Linked DNA regions of Sus scrofa. The protein of the gene in region 2 interacts with the protein of the main gene of each other region in a pairwise test. Links are inferred from orthologs where the notes say so. Each region holds a gene or a part of one and is shown on either strand. Other genes may lie near its edges.

What was found.
Region 1: the proteins of PHYH (region 2) and PEX7 interact in a two-hybrid assay, tested with the Homo sapiens proteins (2 studies listed by BioGRID, with this or other methods). The link is inferred for Sus scrofa from reciprocal best matches to the Homo sapiens genes PHYH and PEX7.

Annotation. Positions count from the first base shown.
Region 1 is NC_010443.5:27,312,014-27,315,531, reverse strand, and holds part of PEX7 (peroxisomal biogenesis factor 7), read left to right. Parts: intron 1-81; coding exon 82-195; intron 196-1,677; coding exon 1,678-1,733; intron 1,734-3,518. UniProt on the Homo sapiens protein: Receptor required for the peroxisomal import of proteins containing a C-terminal PTS2-type peroxisomal targeting signal. Specifically binds to cargo proteins containing a PTS2 peroxisomal targeting signal in the cytosol.
Region 2 is NC_010452.4:48,407,284-48,410,801, forward strand, and holds part of PHYH (phytanoyl-CoA dioxygenase, peroxisomal), read left to right. Parts: intron 1-395; coding exon 396-445; intron 446-2,214; coding exon 2,215-2,325; intron 2,326-2,939; coding exon 2,940-3,108; intron 3,109-3,518. UniProt on the Homo sapiens protein: Catalyzes the 2-hydroxylation of not only racemic phytanoyl-CoA and the isomers of 3-methylhexadecanoyl-CoA, but also a variety of other mono-branched 3-methylacyl-CoA esters (with a chain length of at least seven carbon atoms) and straight-chain acyl-CoA esters (with a chain length longer than four carbon atoms).

The sequences.
Region 1 (3,518 bases), on a different chromosome or scaffold from region 2:
TAGATACTATTTCTAGTAGGAAAGCTTGGGTACTGTTTAATTACAAAGATGTCAGTTTACTTTTCCCTGAATTGTTTTCAGAATTTGTTGGTGACAGGGGCAGTTGATTGTAGTTTGAGAGGCTGGGACTTGAGAAATGTACGACAACCAGTATTTGAACTTCTTGGTCACACGTATGCTATTAGGAGAGTGAAAGTAAGTTTTTATCTTTTCTTTTTATACACAGAACAAAAATATAATATATAAATATAATCAATGATGTAAATATTAAAGATGTTTAGGGGATGAGGTTACTGATTCTTTTCATGTATGTTTTTGTTATCCAGTGGATGATAATGAACCTTGAAAGCTAAAATAAGGTAAATTATTGGAATAATTATTGAATGAATTAGAACAGTATAGTCAAGCGGTACTTAGAATTAAATAAAAGTGCTTTTCTCATCCTGTCATCCCCATTCTACTGTTCTTTTTAATATTTTTAACTATAGTAATTTACCTTTAGTATTACATTATTTATAATTTCCCATTCACTGGGACACTCTCTGTTGAAACTTACACAGAGAGATGGTTAATTCTTTCTTTTTCCTAATGTGATTATATTTGTGAATGTTCATAGAAGTTTCGGGTATAGAAAATTTTCCACTTTGTAAACAAAAGAGCTTGAAGTAATTTTTTCTGCTATTCTCCACCCCCCAATTTGTCAGGTTGTAAGGTGACTTTTTGTTTCCCAGTAAATTTTGCTAAGTCACTGTGGAAAATAATCTTATTAAGGGACATCTCAATTTCATTCTTCATTTTCTACAGTAAGGATAAAAAAGCACCTTTTTTGATGCTTTCATTAAGATAATTATGTTATTCCTATTTGAAAAATTTTAAATTGTATTTAAGTTAATATTTTAAATTTTACTGATTACAACTCAACATAGGCACCATAGTGCCCTGATTTTTTCTTTTAATGGCACACTGGTCTTAGTAGTCTTATATATGTATTGCATAATACTTCTGAGAATGAAATAGGGTAATGTAGTGAAAGTTCTTTACAAACTATGAAGAACATTCAAATGTAATTATATACTATTAAAATACTGTTAAGAAAAGCACTAAAGAAATAAAATTGCAATGAGTAGCCTATTAAAACATGTCAATTACTCGTATATTACTTGTCTTTAACGTTTCGGTTTTTGACCTTGATATACTTTTCGTTATGTCATATACAAATAACATAAAAATTATTAAAATTTTGTTAACATGTAAGTGTTTACTCGATGCTTGTGCTAATAGCAATCATATATATTCACAAAACTGGTAAATTAGATAATTATGTATATGTGTTATTATATACTTAAATCCTTCATATTTGTAGGAATTATTTTTGGAGAGCCAATATGAAATTGTATGTAATTTTTCCAGAATAGCAACATTTTAGGAATACTTAAGTCTAAATAGGCTTTAAAAAGCTTCAGAGATGATTTCCTTTGAAGAATGTAAAAACAACTGTTTTTCCTGTAGTGGATACTTAAAAGGTTAGATGATTTTTGCCTTTAATTAAAGCATAGAAGGTTTGGAAAAGCATAATTTTAAGCAACAGTCCTGACTGAACTTGAATGTATTATAATGTTCATGGGAGTGACCATATGCAGAGGCATGTTATAATTACAGTAAACTTTTTTTTTGTAGTTTTCACCATTTTATGCTTCCGTGCTGGCTTCTTGCTCCTATGACTTTACTGTAAGGTACAGTGATTTTTGATGTGTTTCATTTTGAAATACAAGTACCACTTGCATACTTGCAACTTTTATGAAGGATAATCATATGTTTATCTGACTAATATAAAAATAATCTAAGCTGGGCACATTAATTTGCCACTGGGTTTAATATGTTTTTCTGTTTTTATGATTTGGCCACATATATGAGTAAATTCTTTATTATTAAAAGATGAGTTCGACTGCTCTGTTTAAAAGCTTTTTTCCCTGACAGTTGTTTCTAGAGTAATATCTTTCTATGCTATAGATGTAATAGCCAATATCTTTTAAATTCAGATTTTGAAAACTTTGACATTTTATTTCTTCAGGTCTAATTATAAATCTTAAGGCTAAAACTGTTATAGTTGTATGTTTGTGAATGTATGTATGAGCGTGTATGTATATGTGTGTACATGTATTTCTGTGTATGAATATATGTATATATGTGTGTGTATCTATATTCATACCCCCAGTTCTAATCCCACTCCACACAGGGTTCATTCTACTTTTTTCCTTTTCCAAATTTTTATTTTTACTTTTTTTAGGGCCAAACCCCCGGCATATGGAGGGTCCCAGGCTATAGGGTCAAATCGGAGGAGCTATGCCTGCTGGCCTACGTGCTACAGCCACAGCAGTGCCAGATCCGAGCCACATCCACGACCTACACCACAGCTCACGGCATCGTGAGCAAAGCCAGGGATAGAACCTGCATCCTCACGGATCCTAGTCAGATATAGTTTCCGCTGCTCCGTGATGGGAACTCCTAACTCTTGATTTTTATTATTCATAACATATCTACTTGTTTGCTACCGTAGAGTGCTCAGAAGGTAGTTTTGGGGATCACTGTATATCAGTTCATAGAAATCTTTCTCATTTTATATAATACTCCATTATGCAAATGTACTATAGTTTTTTTCATCTACCCTCCTACATATGGGCATTTAGCTTGTTTCAAATTTTATAAATAAACAGTACTGCAATGAATAATCTTTTATGTGTATATGTTCACATCACAAGAGAATTAACTTGAGTATATTCATAGAAATGGGGTCCTGGATTAAAAGGTAAATACATGTATATATGGTTTTGCTAGATACTACCAAATTCCTATCCTTAAGTAATATTATCAGTTTCCATTCAAAGCAGCAGTATTGAAGTGTACCTGTTTGTCTACCATTTAAAACTCACTGATTCTTTAGGGGTTTTCAGGTTCAAGATCATATCATTTACAAACAAAGATACTGTACATCTTCAATTCCAGTTCTGATACCCCTAATTGATTTATCTAATTGCATTGGCAGGTAGCTCTATTACAATGTTAAATAACGTAAAGGATGCCCTAATTCTTGTATTAGTAAAAAAAATGCCTTTAGGGTTTCCCTGTTAAAAGTAAGATTCTGGCTTTAAGACAAGTACATACATTATTTATCGTGCTGAGAAAGTATGTATCAACTCCTGTTTTCTTGAGTAGTTTGTTTGTTTTAGCGTGGAAAATGGATGTTAAGTTTTGTTGAAGGCTTTATCAGCATCTGTGGAGATGATCATGATTTCTCTTTTGGGAGCTATTAATATAGTGTGTTATTTTAAGGGATGAACCAACCTTGGATTCTTGGACAAAATCCATCTTGTGTTTTGTGTATCATCTTACTGTGGTATTGGAGTCTGTCTGCTAATGTTTTGTTTAGAGATTTTGTATCAGTATCCAAAGATGATATTGGCTTTAGGGATTTTTTTTTTTCTGTTTCTTTAAAAAAAAAACTGCTTTGTGTATCAGTG
Region 2 (3,518 bases):
TTTCTCCCTATTTCTAGAATAGAGCCTTTCCACTATAGTGGAGTGGAAAGAACAGACGTATGGAATACAATAGACAGAAGCTATGAGGTATAGGATGGGCCAGGTCTTGGCTCAACAGTTTTCTGCTGGGTGACCTTGGACCAGGTACTGAGCGCACTCCCCCAGCTTAGGGTTCCTGCCCTGGGCAGCAGGAAGATAACCTTGGGCTAACTTTCATCAAGTTATTGTGAAAATGAAACAAAGTACGCAGTTGTGCATCAGAGCTTATGTGTGTAATTAGTTTACACCACCACTGTTTAGGTCTAGCCTTCCCTTGGGAAAACCAGTCTAGGGTGGACTTTCTAGAAAAGGCTGACTCCTAAATTTTACTTTAATTGCCTTAATTCACATCCCAGACAGCTCATCCCACTTCAGGGGCTGCCAAGTTCCAACCTCAACAATTCCAGTAAGTAGATCTAATTTTAATTTTTAACCATATAATGTATATAAAGGTTTTTTTTTTCTAGTGGTAACTAGGACATAATCTACATGTTGCCTGATGAGAGTTTATTATACAAATCCTCCATTTCCAGGACTTGTTCTAATTAGAATGATTGTGGAAAATTTTGAAGACCCTGTTTTTTTTTTTTTTTTTGCCTTTTTTATTGCGGGGGGGGGCTGCAACTGCAGCATATGGAAGTTCCTGGGCTAGGGGTTGAATCGGAGCCACAGCTGCCAGACTACACCACAGCTCGTGGCAACACCGGATACTTAACCCACTGAGCGAGGCCAGGGATCAAACCCTGTGTCGTCATGGATACTAATCTGGTTCTTAACCAGCTGAGCCACAACGGGAACTCAAAGGAGGAAACATGTCAGAAACTATATAATGTTATTTTTTAAAATTCAGGCATAGTATATCTCACTTAAATTAGTCGTAGCTGTGGCCACTGGCCTTACCACAGCCACAGTCATGCCAGATCTGAGCCGTATCTGCAACCTACACCACAGCTCACGGCAACGCTGGGTCCTTAACCCACTGAGCAAGGCTAGTGATCGAACCTGCGTCCTCACGGATGATAGTCAGATAGTCAGATTCGTTTCCGCTGAGCCATGATGGGAAATCCTATTTTTTATTTTTTAAATTTATTTTTTCACCACACCTGTGTTATGTGGAAGTTCTTGAGCATGGAATCAAACCCACGCCACAACAATGACAACCCCACATCCTTAACCACTAGGCCACCAAAGAACTCCTGCCCTTCATTTTTTTTTTCAATGCCTGAGTCAGATCCCATTGAGTGGATACAGTATAATTAGTTAATTACCTAACTAGTTATATATAACTTCAACTTCCATTAATTATATAACTGAATTATATAACTTCCATCTTTTGGCAATAGTTATTAATGCTTGGGATTTAAAGTTTTGAAAATTTTTTCAGATTATATGCTTAAAGTTGTAGAAACAAATGTTGAGGGGAAGGGTATAAACATCTCTCACGTTCTTGAAACATACTGTTAGGTTGCGATTTTTATTTTTATTTATTTATTTATGTCCTTTTAGAGCCACACTCCCAGCATATGGAGGTTCCCAGGCTAGGTAGGGGTTGAATCAGAGCTCCAGCTGCCAGGCCTAGCCACAGCCACAGCAACGTAGAATCCAAGCCTTGTCTGTGACCTATACCACAGCTCATGGCAATGCTAGATCCTTAACCCACTGGGCAAGGCCAGGGATTGAACCTGCAACCTAATGATTCCTAGTTGGATTCATTTTCACTGCGCCACAACGGGAACTCCTAGGTTGTGATTTTTTTTTTTATCACTCAAATGAATTTATCACATCTGTAGTTGTATAATAATCATAACAACCCCATTTCACAGGATTTCCATCCCACCGCCCAAGCACATCCCCCCACTCCCCCAAATTTTATTTATTTATTTAGGTCTTTTTAGGGCTGCACCCGAGACATATGGAGGCTCCCAGGCTAGGGTCCAGTTGGAGCTACAGCTGCCAGCCTACGCTACAGCCACAGCAACTCGGGATCTGGGCCGAGTCTGTGACCTACACCACAGCTCCTGGCAACGCCGGTTCATTAACCCACTGACTGAGGCCAGGGATTGAACCGGCGTCCTCATGGATGCTAGTCGGGCTTGTTAACCACTGAACCACAACGGGAACTCCTAGGCTGTGATTTTTAAATTGTACTTATGTGAGATTTCTTTTCTCCTTTAGGTATACTCGGGATAATAATGTTCTAAGCCTAGAACAGAGACAATTTTATGAAGAAAATGGGTTTCTTGTCATTAAAAATTTGGTATCTGATGCTGATATTGAACGCTTTAGGTACAGTAACTCTGTTTGGTGTTTTACAGAAATATGTGTTAGGCGTATATAATGGGACTATGAATAAGATTAGCTCATGTGTGTTCAGATATTTTTCAGGAATTGGGTTTGTTGGGAAGTGGTGTCAGAACCTGGGTTCAACCCAGACTGGCTGGCTTTAATCTTAGTCCTATTACTTAACACTCTATGCCCTGGGCTGTTTACTGCACCTTCCCCTGACTGTTTTCTATCTGCAAAATGAGGGAAATAATGTACTCATATCATATTTTTTTAGGACTAAATAGGTAAAAGAGAGAGTACTTTGAACAGGGCTGGACACTTAGTAGTGCTATGGAAGTGTGTGCTGTTTTATTCAGATAAAACCAAATCACCAGTATTTTCCCACTGGTTTGCTAAGCTCAGGAATATCTGAATTCCAGCCTTGCAATCCAGAGGCAGGCCCTTCCAAGTTGGCCATTTTCTCCTTCCTTTCATCAGAACTATTCAGTCTGGGGCTGGAGGCCAACTTAATGCAGAGAAACCACCCCCAAACCTTCGAGTCCTTCCACAAAACAAGATCATGCAGGTGCTTGGGGCCAGCGGTGATGACATCATTTGCCAATTTAATTTTCTAGGGTTCAGTTTGAAAGAATCTGCAGAGAGGAGGTGAAACCACTGGGATTGATGCTGATGAGAGATGTGTCCATTGGCAAATCTGAATATGTTCCATGTGAGAAAATGGTCTCCAAGGTCCAAAATTTCCAAGAAGATAAGGAGCTCTTCAGATACTGCACCCTTCCTGAGGTTCAAGAACGTCTCATGTTTTCTTTCTCTTTAACAGCCCACCTGCACCCCTGCCTCTGCAATCTTCTAATTTTATTTTTTACTTTATCTAGCCCCTTTCTCCTGGGGCCCTAGAGCTGTGGTGGATACTTGGCACTGTCTGGAGATATGTCTGGTTGTCATGCAGGAGGATATGTGCTGCTGGCTTCTAATGGGTAGAGGTCAGGGATGCATTCCTGAGGCCCAGGGATGCGCTAAGGCACAGAGTCACCCCTTCCCCCAAACAAAGAATTATCCATCCCAAAATATCAGTCGTGCCAAGATTGAGAAATCCTGCTCATAATTTTGCAAATTATTTTTGGTTAAGAAGAGCAGGAATTCTGTGGCGTTTCCACTGTGACGCAGCAGAAATGAATCTGACTAGTAGCCAT